Linked DNA regions of Cricetulus griseus. The protein of the gene in region 2 binds, or shares a complex with, the protein of the main gene of each other region. Links are inferred from orthologs where the notes say so. Each region holds a gene or a part of one and is shown on either strand. Other genes may lie near its edges.

What was found.
Region 1: the proteins of Mki67 (region 2) and Nifk are in contact, whole or in part, in an NMR structure (PDB 2AFF), measured with the Homo sapiens proteins. The link is inferred for Cricetulus griseus from reciprocal best matches to the Homo sapiens genes MKI67 and NIFK. Residues at the interface, in NP_002408.3 of Homo sapiens: Thr9, Ile10, Lys11, Arg12, Ser13, Pro18, His19, Phe20, Pro21, Ser23, Leu24, Arg31, Gly32, Ile33, Glu34, Cys35, Asp36, Ile37, Arg38, Ile39, Gln40, Leu41, Pro42, Val43, Val44, Ser45, Lys46, Thr66, Asn67, Ile91; in NP_115766.3 of Homo sapiens: Val228, Asp229, Ser230, Gln231, Gly232, Pro233, Thr234, Pro235, Val236, Cys237, Phe241, Leu242, Arg245, Gln248, Val249, Leu252, Asp256, Lys257, Asp259, Glu260, Ile261, Val262, Phe263, Lys264, Gln265, Pro266, Ile267.

The regions. Positions count from the first base shown.
Region 1 is NC_048598.1:70,204,987-70,209,287, forward strand, and holds the start of Nifk (MKI67 FHA domain-interacting nucleolar phosphoprotein), read right to left. Parts: upstream 3,103-4,301; 5' UTR 3,046-3,102; coding exon 2,941-3,045; intron 1,024-2,940; coding exon 886-1,023; intron 1-885.
Region 2 is NC_048596.1:65,233,945-65,237,756, reverse strand, and holds part of Mki67 (proliferation marker protein Ki-67), read right to left. Parts: coding exon 3,806-3,812; intron 3,489-3,805; coding exon 782-3,488; intron 1-781. UniProt on the Homo sapiens protein: Protein that associates with the surface of mitotic chromosomes and acts both as a chromosome repellent during early mitosis and chromosome attractant during late mitosis.

The DNA.
Region 1 (4,301 bases), on a different chromosome or scaffold from region 2:
CCTTGAATTCCTAATCCCTGCCCACAAGTGAATTTCCTTACCCATATTAGTCTCAAGTGTCATATGGGGTCTGGAGTTCAAATGTCTATGTTTTGATTCTGGCGCGGACACCAGACTTGTGCTAAGTAACATGTAAGCCTCAGATTGTAATTCCATGGAATGACAATAAAATAACCTGTAATAATCAGATTGCTATGAAACCATGTGTGTGTGTGTATTCCACCCCATACTTAGAGCAAAAGTGCTCTTACCATTAAGTCATTTCCCTAGTGCCCAACCAGCTTAATTTTGAAACGTCCTCTCACTGTCCTGGAGTTGGGTGAGGCTTCATCCCAGGGATGAAGTCCCCACCTTCTTAGCATTGGGATTATAAGTGTACATGACCACACCTGGCTTTTGACCTGGGTTCTGTAGATTGAGAGTTATAGACTGAGCTATCTCCCCAGCCTCATGACTTCTTTCTTTTTATTGAGGAAGGATTCCACACTATGCAGCTGTGGCTGGCTTCAAACTCAAAGATCTGCCTGCCTTTGCTTCCTAAGTATTGGGATTAAAGGTACACGCTGCTATGCAAGATTTATTTTCCTGTGACTCCACTGCAACTCGTGTTAGTTTATATTTATTTACAGTCAAGCTCTCCTTATGTATCCCTGGCTGTGCTGGAACTCATGACATAAACCAGGCTGGCTTTGAACTCAACAGAGAGATCTGCTGGCCTCTGCTTCCTGAGTGCTAAGATTAAAGGTGTGTACCACCATGCCCAGCTTGTGAAAAGTTCTTGAGTGTGAACTTTGCAGGTAACAATGTTGTGCCTATGAATACAAAAGATGACACACAATGGAAAAACAAAAACACACATAGCTGAGTTCAGACACATAATCTTACCCGTTTACTTCTGGACAATCTGAATCTGCTAATAGTGCCAAACTGGGTAAAGTAGTCATAGATGTGCGTTTCAGAAAGTGTTGAAGGCAGGTGGCCCAGAAAGATCACTCCAGGGTTAAGACTTCCTTCCTTCTTTTGCTGAGGACAAAAACAACAAATAAATATTTTAAAAACACAAACTCATTGGGCTGGAGACATAGCTGAGAGGTTAAGAGGAGTGGCTGCTCTTCCAGAGGTCCTCAGTTCAATTCCCAGCAACCACATGCTCACAACCATGCGTTGAGATCTGGTGCCCTCTTCTGGTGTACAGATATACATGGAAGCAGAATGTTGTATACATAATAAATTAAATCTTAAAACAAAAACAACATACACACAAACTCATACTGCACAGGGTCTCACTATGGAACTTTGGCTGGCCTGGAACTCACTATGTAGACCAGGCTGGCCTCTAACTCCTGAATGCTGGGATTAAAGGCCCCCGCCACCATGCCCTTTAAGGGATATTAATTCTACAGTCTTTTTAGGGGAGAGGTAGAGATTTGCCTGCCTATGCCTCCACAGCACTGGGACTGAAGGTATATACCACCTTGCCTGGCTTGCAATAAAACTTTCAAAACCCTTCACTCCCCTTGGTTCAGAAACCTACTCATATCTCTATTACAGCAGTAATTAAAGAGCTAGGTGTTTGATGTCTCTCTTCCCTTAAAGAAAACTGCTGGGCTGCCAATGGTTTTCTTGGGGTCACAGTGCAAGAGACAGACTCGCAAGGGTTGTCTTCTGACCTACATATGCACCACGATGCACATCATGGACACACACATATCCATGCCCACCCACCCCCACAGAAAGTCTTTCATCTCAGTACAGCATGTGTTTTGGAGCTAGCTGTATTGTAAGATCAAACATCTGTCATTGTCACTTTGAACCTGAGACCTTCAATTCTGAATGCAGAGGAGTTTATTCACACCTATTTCCAGCTGTTAACCTTCGCGATGCAGACTGTACTTCTCTGTCACCATACTCTAACCCAGGTAGTGACCCAGGCCTACAATCCTAGCTGAAATTCAGTAAGTGGATATAAGAATTCAAAGCCTCAGCTGCACCGTAAATTTAAGGCTAGCTTGGGCTACAGTAGACCCTGTAGTGACATTAAAAAGTAAACAAACAAAAAACCAACCCCAAACCCCCAAAACCCTCCCCCAAAACAAAACAACAACAAAGAAAACCTTTCATTTTCTCCAGTGCATTTCAGGCTATAAACCAGGGGGAATATAAACTTTTGTCAGGGGCCACTGTGGGCAAACAGAGCTTGTCTTGTCTCTATCATCTTTCTTTTCCTTTGGGGAATGAGGGGGTTCGAGACAGGGTTTCTCTGTGGCTTTGGAGGCTGTCCTGGAACTAACTCTTGTAGACCGGGCTGGTCTCGAACTCACAGAGATCCTCCTGCCTCTGCCTCCCGAGTGCTGGGATTAAAGGAGTGCGACACCACTCCTTTAATCCCGGCCTTTCCCTTCTTTTCGTTTTTTTCAAGACACGGTTTCTCTGCGTAGCCCTGGCTGTCCTGAAACTGAAAATATCAACCTGCCCTTGCCTCGAGTGCGTCACCACCGTCCGACAATGTCTCTATTTTCTTTAACTAAGCCGTGATCTGAATGTGTAGTCCACACTATTTCTGACTCTCGATCGTCCTGCTTCCCCCTCCCCGGTGCTGGGGTTTTGCATCTTAATCCCGCCTTCTAAGCGCTCCAACATTAGGGCGCACACACACCTTCCGAGCGCTGCGGTGACCCACGAACCCTGCCTGAATTTGCGGGTCAAAGCGGAAGTGTGGCAGCTTTAACTTATCCTGACGTCTGGACGTGTCACGCTCCTACACGTGCTACCTCTTTGTCTCCACGAGAGTCCTGGGGGCCTAAAGAGCCAAACCCCACACTGATTCCCGGCCTGCCCCAGTCTCCTGACTTGAACCGCAGCCTCCAAGCCCGTGAGAGGCCCGCTCCCCATGCGGCCCCGCCAGCTCCTCCGGGCCGGAGCTCCCGCCCGCCCGCTCACCTTTTTCACGCGCTGTTGGACTTGCGTCACCTCCTTCTGAAACAGCGAGTCTTCCTGCGGGTTCAGCGCCAGATTCGGCTTTGCGGGGCCGTCTAACACCGCCATGCCGGCGGAGTTACCAGCGGGTCCACGCGGAGCTGCCGGAAGTGACGCTCCGGATCGCCTCTCGGAAGCGGAAGTAGAGGCGGGAGGAAGCGTAGCAAAGAACTGTTTAGGCCGCGGTGTCTGGTATTGGGCGGGCTCGAGCGCCACCTGCTGGCCATAAACTGAAAGTTTTCTAAAGAGGATTGAAAATAAACCACAAGGCAGAGGGTGGAGTGCTTGCAGAGCATGCGCCATGCGCCAAGTCCTGGGTTGGAAACCGGGACTGGAGTCCCACGGTTTTTTTTTTGTTTTTGTTTTTTTGTTTTTTGTTTTTTGTTTTTGTTTTTCGAGACAGGGTTTCTCTGTATGGCTTTGGAGCCTATCCTGGCACTCGCTCTGGAGACCAGGCTGGCCTCGAACTCACAGAGATCAGCCGGCCTCTGCCTCCCGAGTGCTGGGATTAAAGCGTGTGCCAACAACGTCCGGCTAGAGTCCCACGTTTGTAATCCCATCCTTTAGAAGGTGGAGACAGGAGCATCGGAGTCCAAAGCCACTCTCATATACATAGTGAGTTCGAAGACAGACTGGGCTCCATGGAACCCTGGCTCAAAAACAAACATAAAGAAGTCCCAAACATTAGCCGTGCCCGTCCTTCACTCATGACCCCCGCCGACCCCAACTCATTTGTGTTTTTTTGTTTGTTTGTTTGTTTGTCATTCTTTGGATTTATTTAACTTGAGACAGTCTCACCATAGGTTTCTTTATGGCATTTTCATACAGCCCTCGCTTGGCTCGGTTCGTAACCATCCTCCTTCCTCCCGCCCTTCATTTGGAGTGTGTGCAGGTGCAGTATGCATGCCGGTGCATGTATGCATGCCGGTGCCCATGCATGTGTGTGTGTGTGGGGGGGCGCAGAGTATAAGGACTTAGGCATTATGCTGGCCTGCCCCTGTCACCTGGCAGAATGCACTCAGGCAGTACCCTAGTCAGCCCAGCGTTCCATGGAGGTGCAAAGGACCCTTTTAAGAGAAAGACCCCGCCCACTTAAAGGTCTTTCTGCCAGCTCATTTCTTTGCACTCTTTTTCCTGTTGTTCCCCTGGGGAGACCAGGCTTTTCCTGTCTCCCTCTTCTCCCCTGTCCTCTCTCTCTGTGTCTCTTTACCTCTTTTTCCTTTCCCCTTCCATCTCTGTTCGGGTTTGGCCAACACCTATCCCTCCCTTGGTTCCCTTTCCCAATAAACTCCATGTGGATTTGTTGAGTTTTGTGGTTTGTGTTT
Region 2 (3,812 bases):
AAGAGTCATCTAAGATATCCAAGACAATGCCTTAGCCACTTTGTTCCCATGGAAAAATAATCATCCCTGATAAATTATAAATTCAGGATGTCAATCATACCGAAACATTCCAGTTCATACTATTGAAGAATGTCCACCATACAGGCAGTAAATGAGTCCCTGGTCCTTTAATGATCACCAAGAAACAAGAGCCTGCAATCTGAGGGATGCTATAGTGATCTCCCTGTTCCAATCCTTCTCAAGGTTATATGAACCTTAGCACCTGTGTTTTGTTTTTGTTTTTTTAATTTAAATATGTGCATTGGTATGAAGGTGTCAGATCCATTGGAACTGGAGTTAAAGACAGTTGTGAACTGCCATGTGGGTGCTAGGAATTGAACACAGGGTCCTTTGGAAGAGCTGCCAGTGCTAAGAGCCGCTGAGCCAACTTGATAGCCCCAGCACATGTGTTTCTTATTTGAATACTGTCACATACACAGAACTACACTGCCCACCTGTTCTCTGGTTAATTCTTCAAACTAAAGATACATGCAAGTCATTCAGTCCCTGAGAACTACTACAGCCACTTTTAATTAGGTCTTATGCAGACAGGAAAACTTTAAGGAGTTTGTCCCTTGTGCAAATCCCCTAAGGATCAATGGCCAGCGCTATTAATGATGGTAAATAGAAACAGTAAGGAAATGACTATTTATCTGTGAATAAACCCCATTACACACAAATTACTGCAGCAAAATGGGCCCCATCCTTCCTGAAAAGCACCCACTATGTCCATCCCCATCACCTGGTCTGGATGGGCTGAGTTTTCTACTTGGGCTTCCTTTTCTTCCGTGATGTTGCTAATCTGCTCTTCCACTGGTTCAATTTTGTTTGACATGATTCTCAGCTGTTTCATCTTCACAGGCTCAGGTGACACATGCCTCTTGCTGGAAGCAGTCCTCTGTTTCTTAGGTGCAGGTTTCTCATCTGTTGCTTCCTGCTTTGGAGTCACAGAGCGCAACCCCCTGGTTCTTGGAATACTTCCATCTCTTGCAGACTTCCTCTTGGGTGGCAGGAAAGTGATGCTTTTGCTTTGCGATTCTGCAGAGTCCCTGGTATCCACCACCATTTCCAAAGTTGTTTCCGTAGTGTCCTCTTTAGAGGCCCTTAGCACTCTCCTGGATGTTCTCAGAGGTTTTATGGGGACTGGCATTTGCTGGAGAGTACTTTTAAGGCTATTGGTGTCATGTCTTAGTTTCTCAGTGTGCTCTGACATTTGAGTTATTTCTTTGGATTCACCCAGGACTTCAAGAGATTGGACCCCATCCTTAGGTCCTCTTAGCTGCCTCCTGCTGGCAGTTACAGTGGTGACTGTTTCTAATTTCTGCTTTCCAGGTTCTTTTGAAGCTTGAATGTCTTTGTCATCAATTTCAGGGACCTTGCGAGATCTTGAAGTTTGCCTTGATGATGGTACTGCCTTCCTCACTAATGAAGGCACTTCATCCACCTCTACTTTTCCTCGCCTTGTCCTGGGACGTCTTGGTGAGATCGGGAGGCTATCTACCTGTTCTGGTTGCGGAGAACTGCAGGGAATCTGTGTGGGTCTTTCATCATTTGCTGATTCCTCAGTATGACCTGGTCCCTTGGGACCAGGCAATTCTAGGGGTTGTGCCTTTTCCCTGAGTACTCTCCGTGGCCTCTTGCTAGCAGGCACACTTGCTGCTGGGTCAGTCTTCTGCTTTGTAGACTCCTTAAGCTCTTCAACATTTCCACTATCACTCACAGGCTCTTTTGGGGTATTCCTGGTTTTCCTGCCTGGTGGTTTTCTCTGTGTTGTGGGCTCTTCTTTCATGTCTATTTTGCACAGTCGTATTCTGAGCTGCCTCTCTGAGGCTACCGAGCTTTCCTTTTCTTCTGGTTGTGGAGATTCACAAGAGTATCTTGTGGCTGTTTCTTCTTGGATGCTGGGTAGCTCCTCTAAGGGTTGGGTCTTCTCCTTAAGTGTCCTTGATTGGCTCCTCTTGCCAGTTAAACTTACAGTTGGGTCTTGTTTCTGTGAAGAATCTTTAAACTCTTTGACATCTTTACTGTCACCCACAGGCTCTTTGGGTGTGTTTCTGGTTCCCCGTAACACTCTTGTAGTTTTTCTTTGTGCTATAGGCTCTTTGGTCACACCCACTCTCCTGAGTCTTCTTCCTGGCTGTGTCTGTGAAGTTGTGTCCATGGACTCTGGAGATTTGCTGAGCATCTTTGTGGTTTTATCAACAGTCACTGAGTCCACTGCTGAGCTTGGAGTTTGGGAGAGCTCTTGGAAGCCAGGCAGGCCCTCTAGGGTCTGTGCCTTTTCCGCTCGTGCAACTCGTTGCCTCTTGCTGCTGGGCACACTGACAGCTGTGTCCAATTTCCGCTTTACAGATTGCTTCCTTGTGCTAATGCCTTTGTCTTCACCTTCTGGTACTCTAGATATGTCCATTATTTCCTGTGACATTTGTGGAAGCATCCTGTCTCCTGATAGTTCATTTTTCACATGAACTTTCATCAGTCTAGTTCTGGGCTGTCTCTGTGAGGTGATTGAAGTTTCTGTTGGCTCTGGTGGCAGAGAGCTGTGGGGCATTTTTGTTAGCTTTTCACCTGCCACTGAATCCTTCTCATAGCCTGGTGTTTGGAAGAGCTCCTGGAGACCAAACAGGTCTTCTGGGGACTGGGATCTTTTCTTACATGCCCCTCGCTGCCTCTTGCTGCGAGTTACACTTATTGCTGGGTCCAATGCCTGAGCTGCAGATTCCTTCAAATCTTTGGTTCCACTGCCATCATCTTCTGAAAGTCTGGATACACGCATGACTTCCTGTGATGAACATCTTGGCTTACTTAGCAAAGAGTGCTTTTCTCTCGCATCCACCTTGTCAAGACCTGTCTTAGACAGTCTCTTTGTGCTTACTGGAGTTCTGACTGGTTCTGCTTGTACAGATTCCAAAGATACCTTTGCAGTTTTCCCAATATTCACTGGGTCACTGGCACCAACTGGAGTTTGGAAGAGTTCTTGGAAGCCATCCAGGTCTTCTAGGGATTGAGCCCTGTTCTTAGTTGCCTGTGAACTTCTACTCCTTGAACTCCTGGTAAAGTCCACTTTCTGCTTTGGAGTTTCCATAATGTCTATGCTGTCGCTCTCTTCCAGCGCTGATGCTGTGGGTGTGCAGGTGGCTCTGCCTGGTGACTTTGTTCGTTTCCCAAGGGTTGAAACTTCTTCTGTCACATCCACTTTCCCAGGATCTGTCTTAGACAGTCTCTTTCTGCTTGCTGGAGTTCTGACTGGTTCTGCTTGTACAGATTCCAAAGACAACTTTGTAGTTTCCCTAACAGTCACTGGATCACTGGCACCAACTGGAGTTTGGAAGAGTTCTTGGAAGCCATCCAGGTCTTCTAGGGGTTGAGCCCCGTTTTTAGGTGCCTGTGACCTTCTCTTGCGTCCTATTGAATTCCCTGTGAAGTCCAGTTTCTGCTTTGGAGTTTGACTCTCCGTGGCCTCTTGCTAGCAGGCACACTTGCTGCTGGGTCAGTCTTCTGCTTTGTAGACTCCTTAAGCTCTTCAACATTTCCACTATCACTCACAGGCTCTTTTGGGGTATTCCTGGTTTTCCTGCCTGGTGGTTTTCTCTGTGTTGTGGGCTCTTCTTTCATGTCTATTTTGCACAGTCGTATTCTGAGCTGCCTCTCTGAGGCTACCGAGCTTTCCTTTTCTTCTGGTTGTGGAGATTCACAAGAGTATCTTGTGGCTGTTTCTTCTTGGATGCTGGGTAGCTCCTCTAAGGGTTGGGTCTTCTCCTTAAGCATAATGT